Linked DNA regions of Canis lupus familiaris. The protein of the gene in region 3 interacts with the protein of the main gene of each other region in a biochemical or structural test. Links are inferred from orthologs where the notes say so. Each region holds a gene or a part of one and is shown on either strand. Other genes may lie near its edges. The genes, in order: HDAC6, ACTR3 and CTTN.

What was found.
Region 1: the proteins of CTTN (region 3) and HDAC6 form a complex in vitro, tested with the Homo sapiens proteins (3 studies listed by BioGRID and IntAct, with this or other methods). The link is inferred for Canis lupus familiaris from reciprocal best matches to the Homo sapiens genes CTTN and HDAC6.
Region 2: the proteins of CTTN (region 3) and ACTR3 form a complex in vitro, tested with the Homo sapiens proteins (3 studies listed by BioGRID). The link is inferred for Canis lupus familiaris from reciprocal best matches to the Homo sapiens genes CTTN and ACTR3.

Annotation. Positions count from the first base shown.
Region 1 is NC_049260.1:42,208,231-42,212,328, reverse strand, and holds the start of HDAC6 (histone deacetylase 6), read right to left. Parts: upstream 2,891-4,098; 5' UTR 2,874-2,890; coding exon 2,697-2,873; intron 2,607-2,696; exon of another isoform or gene 2,588-2,606; intron 2,532-2,587; exon of another isoform or gene 2,392-2,531; intron 1,975-2,391; coding exon 1,852-1,974; intron 1,772-1,851; coding exon 1,643-1,771; intron 1,506-1,642; coding exon 1,417-1,505; intron 117-1,416; coding exon 32-116; intron 1-31.
Region 2 is NC_049240.1:36,584,949-36,588,598, forward strand, and holds part of ACTR3 (actin-related protein 3), read right to left. Parts: intron 3,351-3,650; coding exon 3,240-3,350; intron 1-3,239. UniProt on the Homo sapiens protein: ATP-binding component of the Arp2/3 complex, a multiprotein complex that mediates actin polymerization upon stimulation by nucleation-promoting factor (NPF).
Region 3 is NC_049239.1:48,400,388-48,404,037, reverse strand, and holds part of CTTN (src substrate cortactin), read left to right. Parts: coding exon 1-24; intron 25-807; coding exon 808-918; intron 919-3,559; coding exon 3,560-3,650.

The DNA.
Region 1 (4,098 bases), on a different chromosome or scaffold from region 3:
CACCACCCAGGGTGTCGGCTGAGGGACTCACCTGAAAGGACACGCAGCGGTCCAGGAGGCCATCCTGGATCAGTTGTTCCTTGATGGCATGGAGCCGCTCAGGGCCCTCAGGAAAGCTGGGTTGACAAGACATACAGTTACACACCCACACACACACAGACTCTCTCTTCCCCCTCTAAAATGCAATCTTCCCAGAGGCAGGGGTTCTGTTTGTTTTGTCTACCACGGCATCCCTAGCTCCTCAGGAGATGGCAGACATGTATTCGAGAATGAAATCTTTTGCCATCATGAGTCTTCTGTTGGGAGAGGGGACATACACACATAAGTGTGATAAATGAGCAAACAATGATATAGACTAGGAAGGCCTCCAACAGCAGGTGTGGGGGAAGGGGAGCAGACAAAGACCTCTTGGAGCAAGTCTCCTTGAGATGGGAATGTTAACTGGGTGAGGAGGAGGTGGAAATGAGTTTCTGGAAGAGGGGGCCAGCCAGGGTAAAGACCCGAGCTGACAGAGTGCCTGGCGATGCTGGAGGAACAGCAGGGGGACCAGTGTGGGTGAAATGAAGCTACGCGAGTGACTGGCTGATGAGGTCACTGAAGTGGTGTGGAGCCAGATCACGTGGTATGTTATAGGCCAGAATGAAGAATCTGGACTTTACCTTGAGGGCAATGGTATACCCTTGAAGGATTCTAAAAAAGAGAACAGGACTCTAACTAATGTAATGCAGTATGTCAACTATACTTCAGTTAAAAAGTAATTAAAAAGAGAGAGACAACATCATCTCACACGTATTTTGGTTTTCTTTGGCTGCCATGTGGAGAACAGACAGCAGGGTGAGGGTGAAAGCAGGCAGCCAAGGAGAAGGCCTCGGCCAAGTCTAGGTAAGTGATGGTGGTGGTGGCAGTGGAGGTGGTAAGGAGAGGTCAGGTACTGAATACATTTCCAACACAGAGCCAAAAGAATTACAACATGTGTGAGCAAATGGGAGGTATAAATTCTTGCATTTCTGCATGAAATATCCTTTCTTCAAGGAAGCCTTCTGCGAACCCCGGAATGCTAGTCTAGGGTCCTCTATCAAACACTCTTGAATCCCCTAGTCTGGGGTTATCCTTCGTTAAATACTTCACACTGCTGTTGGCTGTTTAATGATTTGCTCTCCTACTCAACTAACAGCTCCTAGAGAAGGGGCCCTGTCTGTCTGGTCTGACATGTCTGTATCACCAACTCCTGGAACACAGTGCATACTCAGGAGGTGTTGGCCAAATGAAAAGAATCTTTTCAAGCCTAAGCCTCCCCACTTGAAATCATCTGCTGCCAGTCTCCAGGCTAGCATAAGAATGGCTTCGTTCTTGCTAATGGGCTCTAAGGGCATTTATTTTTGTGGTTAGGGTACCGTCTGGAGGAGCCAGCCTCACCTGTCATCCCAGAGGCAGTGGAATTCATTTAGTTGCTCATCAAACACCAAGCCAGTGCCACAAAGTGTCTTGGCCTCAAGGTTCAGATCCTGCAGGGAGAAAAAAAGGGGAGAAACCGATCCACTTTGGGCCCGAGTCAGAAGGAACACACACTGTCCAGGAGGGAGAACCACAGGATTCTGATTGTCACAGGAAGCTAAATCCATTGAGCCCAGGCCACTCTCACCAGCCCTTGCAGGCCCACGATTAGGTCTTGCTCTGCTGCTTGGCTGAGCTTCTTCATTCTGCCTTTCTTCTTTACCTCTGCTAGACTAGGGCTGGAGTGGCGTAAGGCACCCTTCTTAACACCTCGCTTCTGCCAAACAGAGAGAAGGGTCAGATTCCAGGGCACGGCCTACTGCTCCTCCCCCCCATCAGGCAGGTTTGGGGCCTCACCGAGGTGACGCTGGAGTCGTGGGGGGGCGAATGGGGGTTATGCCTACTCCTTCGCTGCCTGGTTGTGGTGGAATCCTGGCCGGTGGAGGTCATGGTCGGGGAGACTTCACCCCTGATGCGGCTCTGGGGGGTGGGGTGGCGGTGACTACGAACAGGCTGGAGTGCCCTGAGGGCCTCCCAGACCCCGCCCCCTATACAGTCTCCATCCCTTCTGCTATCCTACTCCCCACCGCCTTCTAAACTCCACCCCTTTCAAGGCCTTCTCCTTCCACTGGGGTGTCCATTCCACCTGGTCCCGCCCATCCCAGTAGGCTCCACCCCCTTAACACTATTCTTTCCCCTTTAAAAGTCTTGCCCTTTCGCGGAGCAATAAGTCCCCAGGCTCAGTCCGTCCTAGCGCCGGCCCTTTCCAGCTAATCACCGCCCTTTCCGCTCCCCCAAATCACATTCCCAGACTCTTTCATTCCTCCAAGCCTCGCCAAGACCCCACCCCTTCACAAATCTGCCCCTTCCAGCTAATCTCCCAGAATAATCACCCACCCTTTCACTCAGCCAGACCCAGACCCCGCTCCGGCCCCGACTCCACCCTTAACGATCCACTTAACTCCACCCCTTATCAGGCTGGACCGACACCTTCCACTTGGCCAGATCCCGCCCCTAACGTTTCAACGAGCCTCGCTCCTCGGGGAACTGCCCCTTTCCTTCCACCAGATCCCACCCCCTGCTCAAACCCTACCCTCAAGCTCCAGCAAATCCCTTCAGCCAGTTTCAGGCCGCCTCCCACCAGTCCCCTCCCCCTTCCGACCCCACAGCCGACGCCGACCAATCCCTTCGGCTCCACTCACTGAGCGCAGCCCTTTTTTCAAACTCCGCCCAGGGCTCCCGCCGCCAAATTCCTGGCGACCTGCGGGACGGCGGGTGCTTGAGGCCCTCTTTTCCATTGGGCCGGTCTCTCTACTGCCCGCCCCGATCCGCCTACACTGTGTGTCGGTGCTCAGGGCCGCGCCCTTCAGGCGGGCCATACTTCCCGCGAGCTCACAAACGCCGTGGGTACGTCAGCGCGCGACGCTGGCTGTGCTGCGCCTGCGTGAAGCGTGCCCCCGCGGTTCGAGGTGGCGCTCAGGCTCTAGCCCGCCCCTCCCCCAACCACCGCCGCTGCCGTCCTGGCTCCCGTGGCCGCTGTCTCTCGATCCTTGTCCGGTCACCTTAGGAGTCCTCCGGACCCGCGCCAGTTGTCCTGTACGATGACTCAAGAGAGCAAACAAGCAAGCGAGGGAATTAGGAAGGGGCGGTTTCTTTTCTCCCGGTGGCTTCCTGCGCGGCGCGCTGTGATGACGTAGCGCGGGCGGGCCGGCGGCAGGGCCCCGGAGCGCGGTGGATATTGGAGGATGGCTGGTGGTGGCCAGAATGGGAGTGGTGACGATGTTAAATGCTGTGAGGCTTTTCCGAGTTAATATTCACTAAGGTGGCCCACAGGAAGCACTCACTAAATGTTAGCTGCTGCTATTCTGCTGGGAATATGGTTGGTAGGATGGAAGGAGGTTTACTGAGTGCAGTCGTGATGATAGCAAGTAATATGTGACAGGCACTGTCGTAAGCCACAATTCTGTGAGGTAGTTCCTATTATTAAGGCTGCTTTGGAGATAAGGAAACTGAGGTTACACGACTTAGCCATGTGACCCTTAGCAAGTTGCTGAACATCTATGTGCTTCGGTTTCTTCATCTGGCAAATTGTGATAATAGTGCCCGGGGCTTGAATAGACTCATGGAGAGTTTTTCTTGGATGGCAGTTCTCCCTCCAGCCCTCTCCATTGGGTAACCTCTGCCCCCAAGCTGTAGGGAAAGCGTGTGCCTGGGAAGTAGGGGGAGTTGCACCCGTGTGCCCCTCCAACTCCCTCACACCCCTTGTCTAGATGTCTAAATATCAGCTCCGCAGGAGGCCGGTTTGTCCTCCTAATCTCCCTCTCTCATTCTTCACCATTTCCTACCGGGCTGTAGGCTGGGGCTGAAGAGATAAGCGGTCTGGGGTTCAGCATGCTGACTAACAAATAGATTGACAGCCCCACCACCCAGTAGCCTGGCCCTATGACCCTTTAGAAAACCCCAGTTCCACCCTTCTCTTTCACTCTTTTGCTACCAGAACATGGTTTTGTTTTGTTTGGTTTTATTTTTTGTCCCAGTGGAAGAGGATCAAGTCCTAAGACCTTTAAACCTCCACATGCACCAAAGAAAACATGATACACACTG
Region 2 (3,650 bases), on a different chromosome or scaffold from region 3:
AGACCAAAGAGAAACTATATAAAGAATTCAAACAGATGTATTGCATATATGGAAACAATATAGTTATTCACACAAAAAAAGAAATGGAATCCCTATGTTACCCCATTAAACACTGATAAAAGGAATAAAAGACTTGGTCAAATCATCTTATAAAAGGGTAATGACAGATCCCCAGGGAGAAATACCAATGGTGTTTGCTAGTGGCAGAGTTCTCATCTATGAAAGGTTTTTTAGCAGGATGTACCTAGTCTGTTTACAACTAAAGTAAATAAGCTAAGATTCTACAAATTTATGCCATGGCTTTTTGGAAAATGTTATTTAAGTTATATAACTGTTAAGAGTATTAACATGGAGATATTTACACAGTTCTCTTCAGTTCACATACATCATTTAGAAACCTGCAGATTAAGTCTGGGCCAGAATACATTCTAATGAGGCAAGAGAACACTGAGCTGAAACAGTACTTACAATCCCACACTTCATGTTTCACCTATGCCTCATGATTAGTTAAACCATTTAAATTATTAAACCATGAAACAGGGCAAGACTTCTGATTCTTATGAATCAGATTTGACAATCTTTTTTGTTATCTCAAATATTTAAACTGAAAGGCAAACCTTTTAAACTTTAGAAAATATAAAAGAATAATGTTTTTGACCTTGAGGTAAGAATGATTCCTTAAATTTTAAGGGCACAAATTACAGAAAGAAACATGGATAACACTTGAATATATTGCCAATTAAAACATTTTTTGTTAATTTAAAAAATACTATAAAGTTTTAAAGACAATGGTCAACTTAGAGTAGACTCTGTATGTACGTAAAACCTTTTTAAAAAAAAAAGATTTTATTTATTCACTCATGAGAGACACAGAGAGAGAGGGGGAGAAGGAAAAGCAGGCTACACGCAGGGAGCCTGATGTGGGACTCAATCCCGGGACCGTGGGATCATGCCCTAAGCCAAAAGCAGATGCTCAACCGCTGAGCCACCTAGGCATCTCCATAAAACCTTTTAATAGCTAAACTACCTGATGTGTTTAAACTTATTTGAAAGAGTTTTGGAACTATGTTCAAAGCTTTGGAGATAACTTAGTGATAGGTACATATAAGATAAAAGCAAACTGAAAAAGCCAAGCCAGTTAAATTATAAACTCCAAGAAAAACAGAAGCTCTATATAAAATAAAATATAATCAGAAACCCTCCCAATAAAGAAAAAGAAACCCTCCCAATGAAAATATACAAAAAGCTAATAAGCACATGAAAAAGTGCTCAACATCATTAGTCATCAGGAAAATGCAAATTAAAACCAAAATGAAAAATCTTACACACCCACCAGAATGGCTAAAATTAAAAAGACTGACACACCAATGTTGGATAGAACATAGAGCAACCAGATTGCTAACACATTGTTGGTGGGTGTGCAAAAAGGTACAACCCCTTGGAAAAAGTTCTGAATGTTACCTATAAAACCAACCACACACCTATCCTATAATAGAGTAATTTGATATCCAGGTACTTATACAAGACAAATCAAAGTATGTCCACAAAAAGATTTAAGAATGTTTGTAGTAACCAAAATATTCTTAATAGTCAAAAACTGGAAACAGTCCAGGTAATCACCAACAAGAAAATGGATAGTGAGGCATATTCATACCATAGAATTTGACCCAGCAAATTACTGGTATATGAAACAATGTGGATGAGTCTCAAAGATTACGCTGAATGAAGTCTTACCAAAGAGCACATCTTGTATAATTTCATTTATATAAATTTCAAATATAAGCAAAACCAATCTACGCTGGAAAAAATCAGAACAGTGGTTGCCTCTAGCACATAGGAGCAGGAATTAATCAGGAAAGGACATCAGAAAACTTTCTAGGCTGATAGTAATGTTCTCTATCTTTTTTTTTTTTTTTAGATATTTTTGTTTATTTTTTTAATTTATTTTTTATTGGTGTTACTGTTCTCTATCTTGACAAGAGTTTTGTTTACACAAATGTATGCATCTGTTAAAATCAGGAGATGGCAAACAACATCATGCATCCTGTAAGACAAATCCATCTCATCACTTGTTTTTGTAGATACAATTTTATTGGAACACACTGAAGTACTGTCTAAGGCAGCTTTTCCTGTTACAATAGCAGAGCTCAATAGCTGCAACAGAGACCATATGGCATTCAAAGCCAAAAATATTTGCTATCTGGTCCTTCAGAGAAAGTTTGCCAATGCCTGCTCAATACTCATAGAATGCTAGCGTTAAGATTTGTACATTTTATAGCATGTGAATTTGTGAACTTTATATACATAAAAGAACTATAAATAATGAACTCTAGTTGGTGATATGCATGCTAGTGTACTTAGGGGTGAAATTACCCCATCTGCAACTCATTCTGAAGTAATTAAAAATATAAAATGGAGTGATGGATGGATAACCTGCTAGACGTCATAAAGTAATTATAATAAAATTAATATTTGCATCTAGGTTATGTATATGTGGGTATCTACCATAAAGTTCTTTCAACTTTATGTTTATGGTCTATAAACAATATTCACGAATTACAGTAAAATAAAATCAATGGAATATTGATTCCATGTCTATTCTATAGGGAGGGGGGAAGATAGGGATTCTATGTTGAGAAGGAGGATAAAAGGAACAAAATATCCTCACCTTTCCTACTAGAAAGCATTAGTGTCTAATATTTAAATAAATAAGAAATAGAAAACATGTTTAAATTTATGAGATAATGATCATAAAAAGCTCTTTAAAAATTTAAAGTGTTTGTCTCTAGAGACTATGAATCAAAGGCTGGGAAAGGTGAGAAAGCAGAGTGCTATTTTTTTGTTTTAAATCTTACAGCATTGGATTTTTGTAAACTATATATTGTATTTCTGTTGCCAAGAATTACCAATAAAATAAATAATCAGATGAGTTATTTAAAAAAGCAAAGAGCCATATTCCCAAATATTTTTTGAACCTTACTGTTCCTATCATAAAGATTACATATTAATTATGAAAAGAACTTTCTAAGTGCCTAAACCTTGGTGCTTCAATGTATCGTAACTATTGGAACCCAGAAGTGGATGATCTTAAAGACAATACAGCATTATAATGAAGTCTTTTAGACACAGAACAATTTAATAAACAACAAAGTATGCCCTAGTGAGTATAAATGTGATGAAAACATTCTCATTATGTTTTTTTCAAAAACGTCCTTGGTGAAATTATAATTTGTACTTACCAAAAGAAAATAATGATCTTCTGGTTCTGCCCTTAAATATTTAAAGATCACTTGTTCCATAAACCTTTCCATCAAGTCCCAATCTTCAACTATACCATGGCGAATTGGCCACTATCAAAACAAAACACAAATGAGATCTTAATATCAAAAGTAAATAAAACTACCAAAAAAGGAGAATATTAAACCAGGACAGCATTTTTCATGTGTGATTTAATGATGTAGATTATCCTTAGGAGACGCATACTTTACTATTTAGAGATCAATTAAATTATTCCAACAACATTTTCAGATGATTCAATTAAAATACATAATGTAAATGTTAAGAGAATCATCAGAGCAATCCTGTGATAGACAATCAAGAAGGATGAAGATTATCATATATGCAATTGCATTTAACAAAGAGCTTAATCT
Region 3 (3,650 bases):
CCGAGAAGCACGCCTCACAGAGAGGTAAGCTGTGCTGCAGACAGGAGGGCAGCCCTGCCCCGCTGCGCCGGGCCAGAGAGAACACTGTCATCAGAGGCGGTTTCCTGGGGAGGACCATATCACTATGGGGCTCCCCAGGCTGTGGCAGAGGCTGCCTTTTCTTCCTCTGAGCATCGTTGTACCAGGAGAGTCCACTCTCGGGTTCGGCTGGCAACAAGCTCACTTTCCCCCCAGCCTTGGAAACCAGAGCCTGAGATCACTGTTGCTTTACTGTGCGTGTGGTCCTCACATGGTGCTGGCTAACCTTCAAGTCGTGACAGTCTTTTAAAGCCTTTTTTTTTCTTTCTTTCTTTCTTTCTTTTTTTTTTTTTTTTAAATGGAAGCATGTTATTTTTTCAAAGTGCTTGGTGTACTTTTTGTGAGCTGGTTTACGCCTGTGTCTTGCGTATCATCGGATGCCCTGGGGGTGGGCGCTCTGTCCATCTGGCCTGGCATGGACCTCTCTAGTCCCTTCGGCAAGGGGTTTGAGCTGCACAACTTGCTTTATTTGGACAGTTAATTTCTGCAGTGGGACCACAGCTTCTTGTGCCATTGTGAGAGGCTCCCCTCTTGGGGTTGCAAGGGATTGCGCTCTGAATGGAGTCTGGGTTCACTCCTGCATGACCATGGGGGGACTTTTAAACTGTGCGCTTGATCTCTTGCTGTGTCCTGACTCCAAAATGTTTTTGTCTTGCTCAGTCGAAGAACCGAGGTGACAGTTGAGCCTGTCATCGAGCTTCTTTACTGACTGCCGCCCTGTCTCCTCAGACTACTCAAGTGGGTTCGGTGGCAAGTATGGCGTGCAGGCTGACCGGGTGGACAAGAGTGCCGTGGGCTTCGACTACCAGGGCAAGACGGAAAAGCACGAGTCACAGAAAGGTCAGGCCACTGGGAGCACCACTTCTCCCTGTGTGGGGCCTGCCTCCTCCCTGCTGCGCACTCACAGGTCCACACCAGGGATTTCTCTCCCCATGCCAGCTGGCTTGTGTGGCATTTCTGCTGTTTTTGTTTTGTTTTGTTTTTTTAACATTTTATTTATTTATTCATGAGAGAGAGAGGCAGAGACACGGGCAGAGGGAGAAGAAGCAGGCTCCTCACTGGGAGCCCAATGGAGGAGTCGATCCCAGGACCCCAGGATCATGACCTGGGCTATTAATCCACCCAAGCGTCCCTTCTGCAGTCTTTTTAACTGAAATTGTCAGAGGGCTCTTGTTCTGTTCAGGTCAGCATACATCTGCCTTTTCTGTCCCCATCTTGCAAGGAGGCTGTCAACATTTAACCATTCCTCTTTGGAATGTGAAATTTTGGTTATTTGCAATCTTTGAAGCTAAAAATCAACTACAGTGAATATTCTTGTTCCCTGAGTCTCATAGATTTTTAAAAAATGATTTTTTAGAAGAGTAAATTTCCAGAAGTAGAACTGTTAGGTCAAAGGACGTTGAGTTTGAAATTTTGGTGGCTACTGCAGATTGTCCTCACCAGCTGTGCTGATTTTTCCCTCCATCATTGGAAACCCTGCCTGGCGAGGGATGTCTCCATGAAGGGTTTATAGATGTGGTCCCCTCTTGCAGTGGCCCTGGATTGTTGGTTCTTCTGCATTATTTGTTTCATATGGGCTTCACGTTTAAATATTTTTTTTTTTAAATACCTCTACACCCAACATGGGGCTTGAGCTTACAACCCTGAGATCCGCTGACTGAGCCAACCAAGCGCCCTTGTGCGTTTACATTTTTAAAAATAGTTGCCAACATATAAAAACAGAATTCACATCTTGTTTAAAAACCCAGATTTCTTTAAAAGACAAATATAGGGATGCCTGGGTGGCTCAGTGGTTGAGTGTCTGTCTTCGGCTTAGGTCATGATCCTTGGGTCCCGGGATCAAGTCCCACAGTGGGCTCCCTGCAGGGAGCCTGCTTCTTCATCTGCCTATGTCTCTGTCTCTCTGTCTGTCGTGAATAAATAAGTAAATCTTTAAAAATACATAAATAAAAGACAAAAATGAAAATGCCCATTGGAAACACCATGGGCGTGTCAGTTGCCTGGGAAGTGGCAGTGAGGCCTTTGGGGCAGCTGACTTGGCTGTGGGTGTCACTTCCTGTCATACCTGGCCTGCCCACCCACCCTGAGGCCACAGTCCTGGCACACAGTGTGCCCCACAGGGTCTCTTTAGACTCTGCCTCTTCTACTTGGAGCAAACTTGTGCTCCTCTGCCCAGTATGGTACGCACGGTGCTCATCCGGGCCTGCACTTAGATCCTGCACACTGCTATTCAGATTTTCTCCTGGACATGCCATTGAGGAGGAATGAAAACCGTTTCTGAGAAGTCAGAGAGCAGAAGCCAAAGGGCATGGGGCAGACAGGGTTTCTCTGCAGCCTTGGGCCTTCCCCCAAAGGGTTTGATCTTTGTGGTCTGCTCTGGGAATGTGGCCCTGGTAGAGCCATGCTTTAGTATGGAGATATGTCGGTGACTTAGCTCTGGGTGGAAGTGATGGTTTCTGGAAGATGCTCCACATCTGTCCTCTTTCTTTGAGGGTACTCCCAGCACACCTCTGCGGCTTTTGTTTATGAAGCAGAGTGACCTTTTATGTATTTATTTATATTTTTTAAAGCTTTATTTAAGGACATAGCAAGAGAGAGCACAAGCAGGGGCAGAGGCAGTGGGAGAGGGAGAAGCAGACTCTGCTGAGTAGGGAGCCCTGATGTGGGGCTCGATCCTAGGACCCTGAGATTATGACTTGAGCCAAGGGCAGACACTTAACCGACTGAGCCACACAAGTGCCCATAGTGTGACCTTTTAAAAGCTTGCCTCTATGGCTCTGGTGGCTCCTCTCAGTCCCAGAAGCTTTATTTATTTTTATTTTATTATTTTTTAAAGATTTGATGTATTTATTTATGAGAGACAGGCAGAGGGAGAAGCAGGCTTCCTGTGGGAAGCCTGATGTGAGACTCGATCTCAGGACCCTGGGATCACCCCCTGAGCGGAAGGCAGACAGTTAACCACTGAGTCACCCAGATGCCCCTCCCAAAAGCTTTATAACATGCTTGTTTTGTGATCTCTTTTGGAATGAAGGAAAGATAGTACAGTTGTGAAAATCTGCTGCACTTGCTATTCTTCGTGTTTTTGTTGCTACACACACAATAACACTCTGGAGCGCTCTGTATTAGTGTGATCTTACAGTGTACCTGAAAGAGTTTTGGCCTGTGTGTTTTGTTTTTAACTGGGTGATAAGGGATCCCTGGGTGGCGCAGCGGTTTGGCGCCTGCCTTTGGCCCAGGGCGCGATCCTGGAGACCCGGGATCGAGTCCCGCATCGGGCTCCCGGTGCATGGAGCCTGCTTCTCCCTCTGCCTCTGTCTCTGCGCCTCTCTCTCTCTCTGTGACTATCATAAATAAATAAAAGTTAAAAAAAAAAAAAAAAAAAAAAAAAAAAACTGGGTGATAAAAGTACTTTCTCAAAGAATCCACGGCCTGCTCACTGGTTTTGTTGCTGGTGTGTAAACAGTACTTTTCTTGTTTGCAGATTACTCGAAGGGTTTTGGTGGCAAGTACGGCATTGACAAGGATAAGGTAGACAAGAGTGCTGTCGGCTTTGAATACCAGGGCAAGACAGA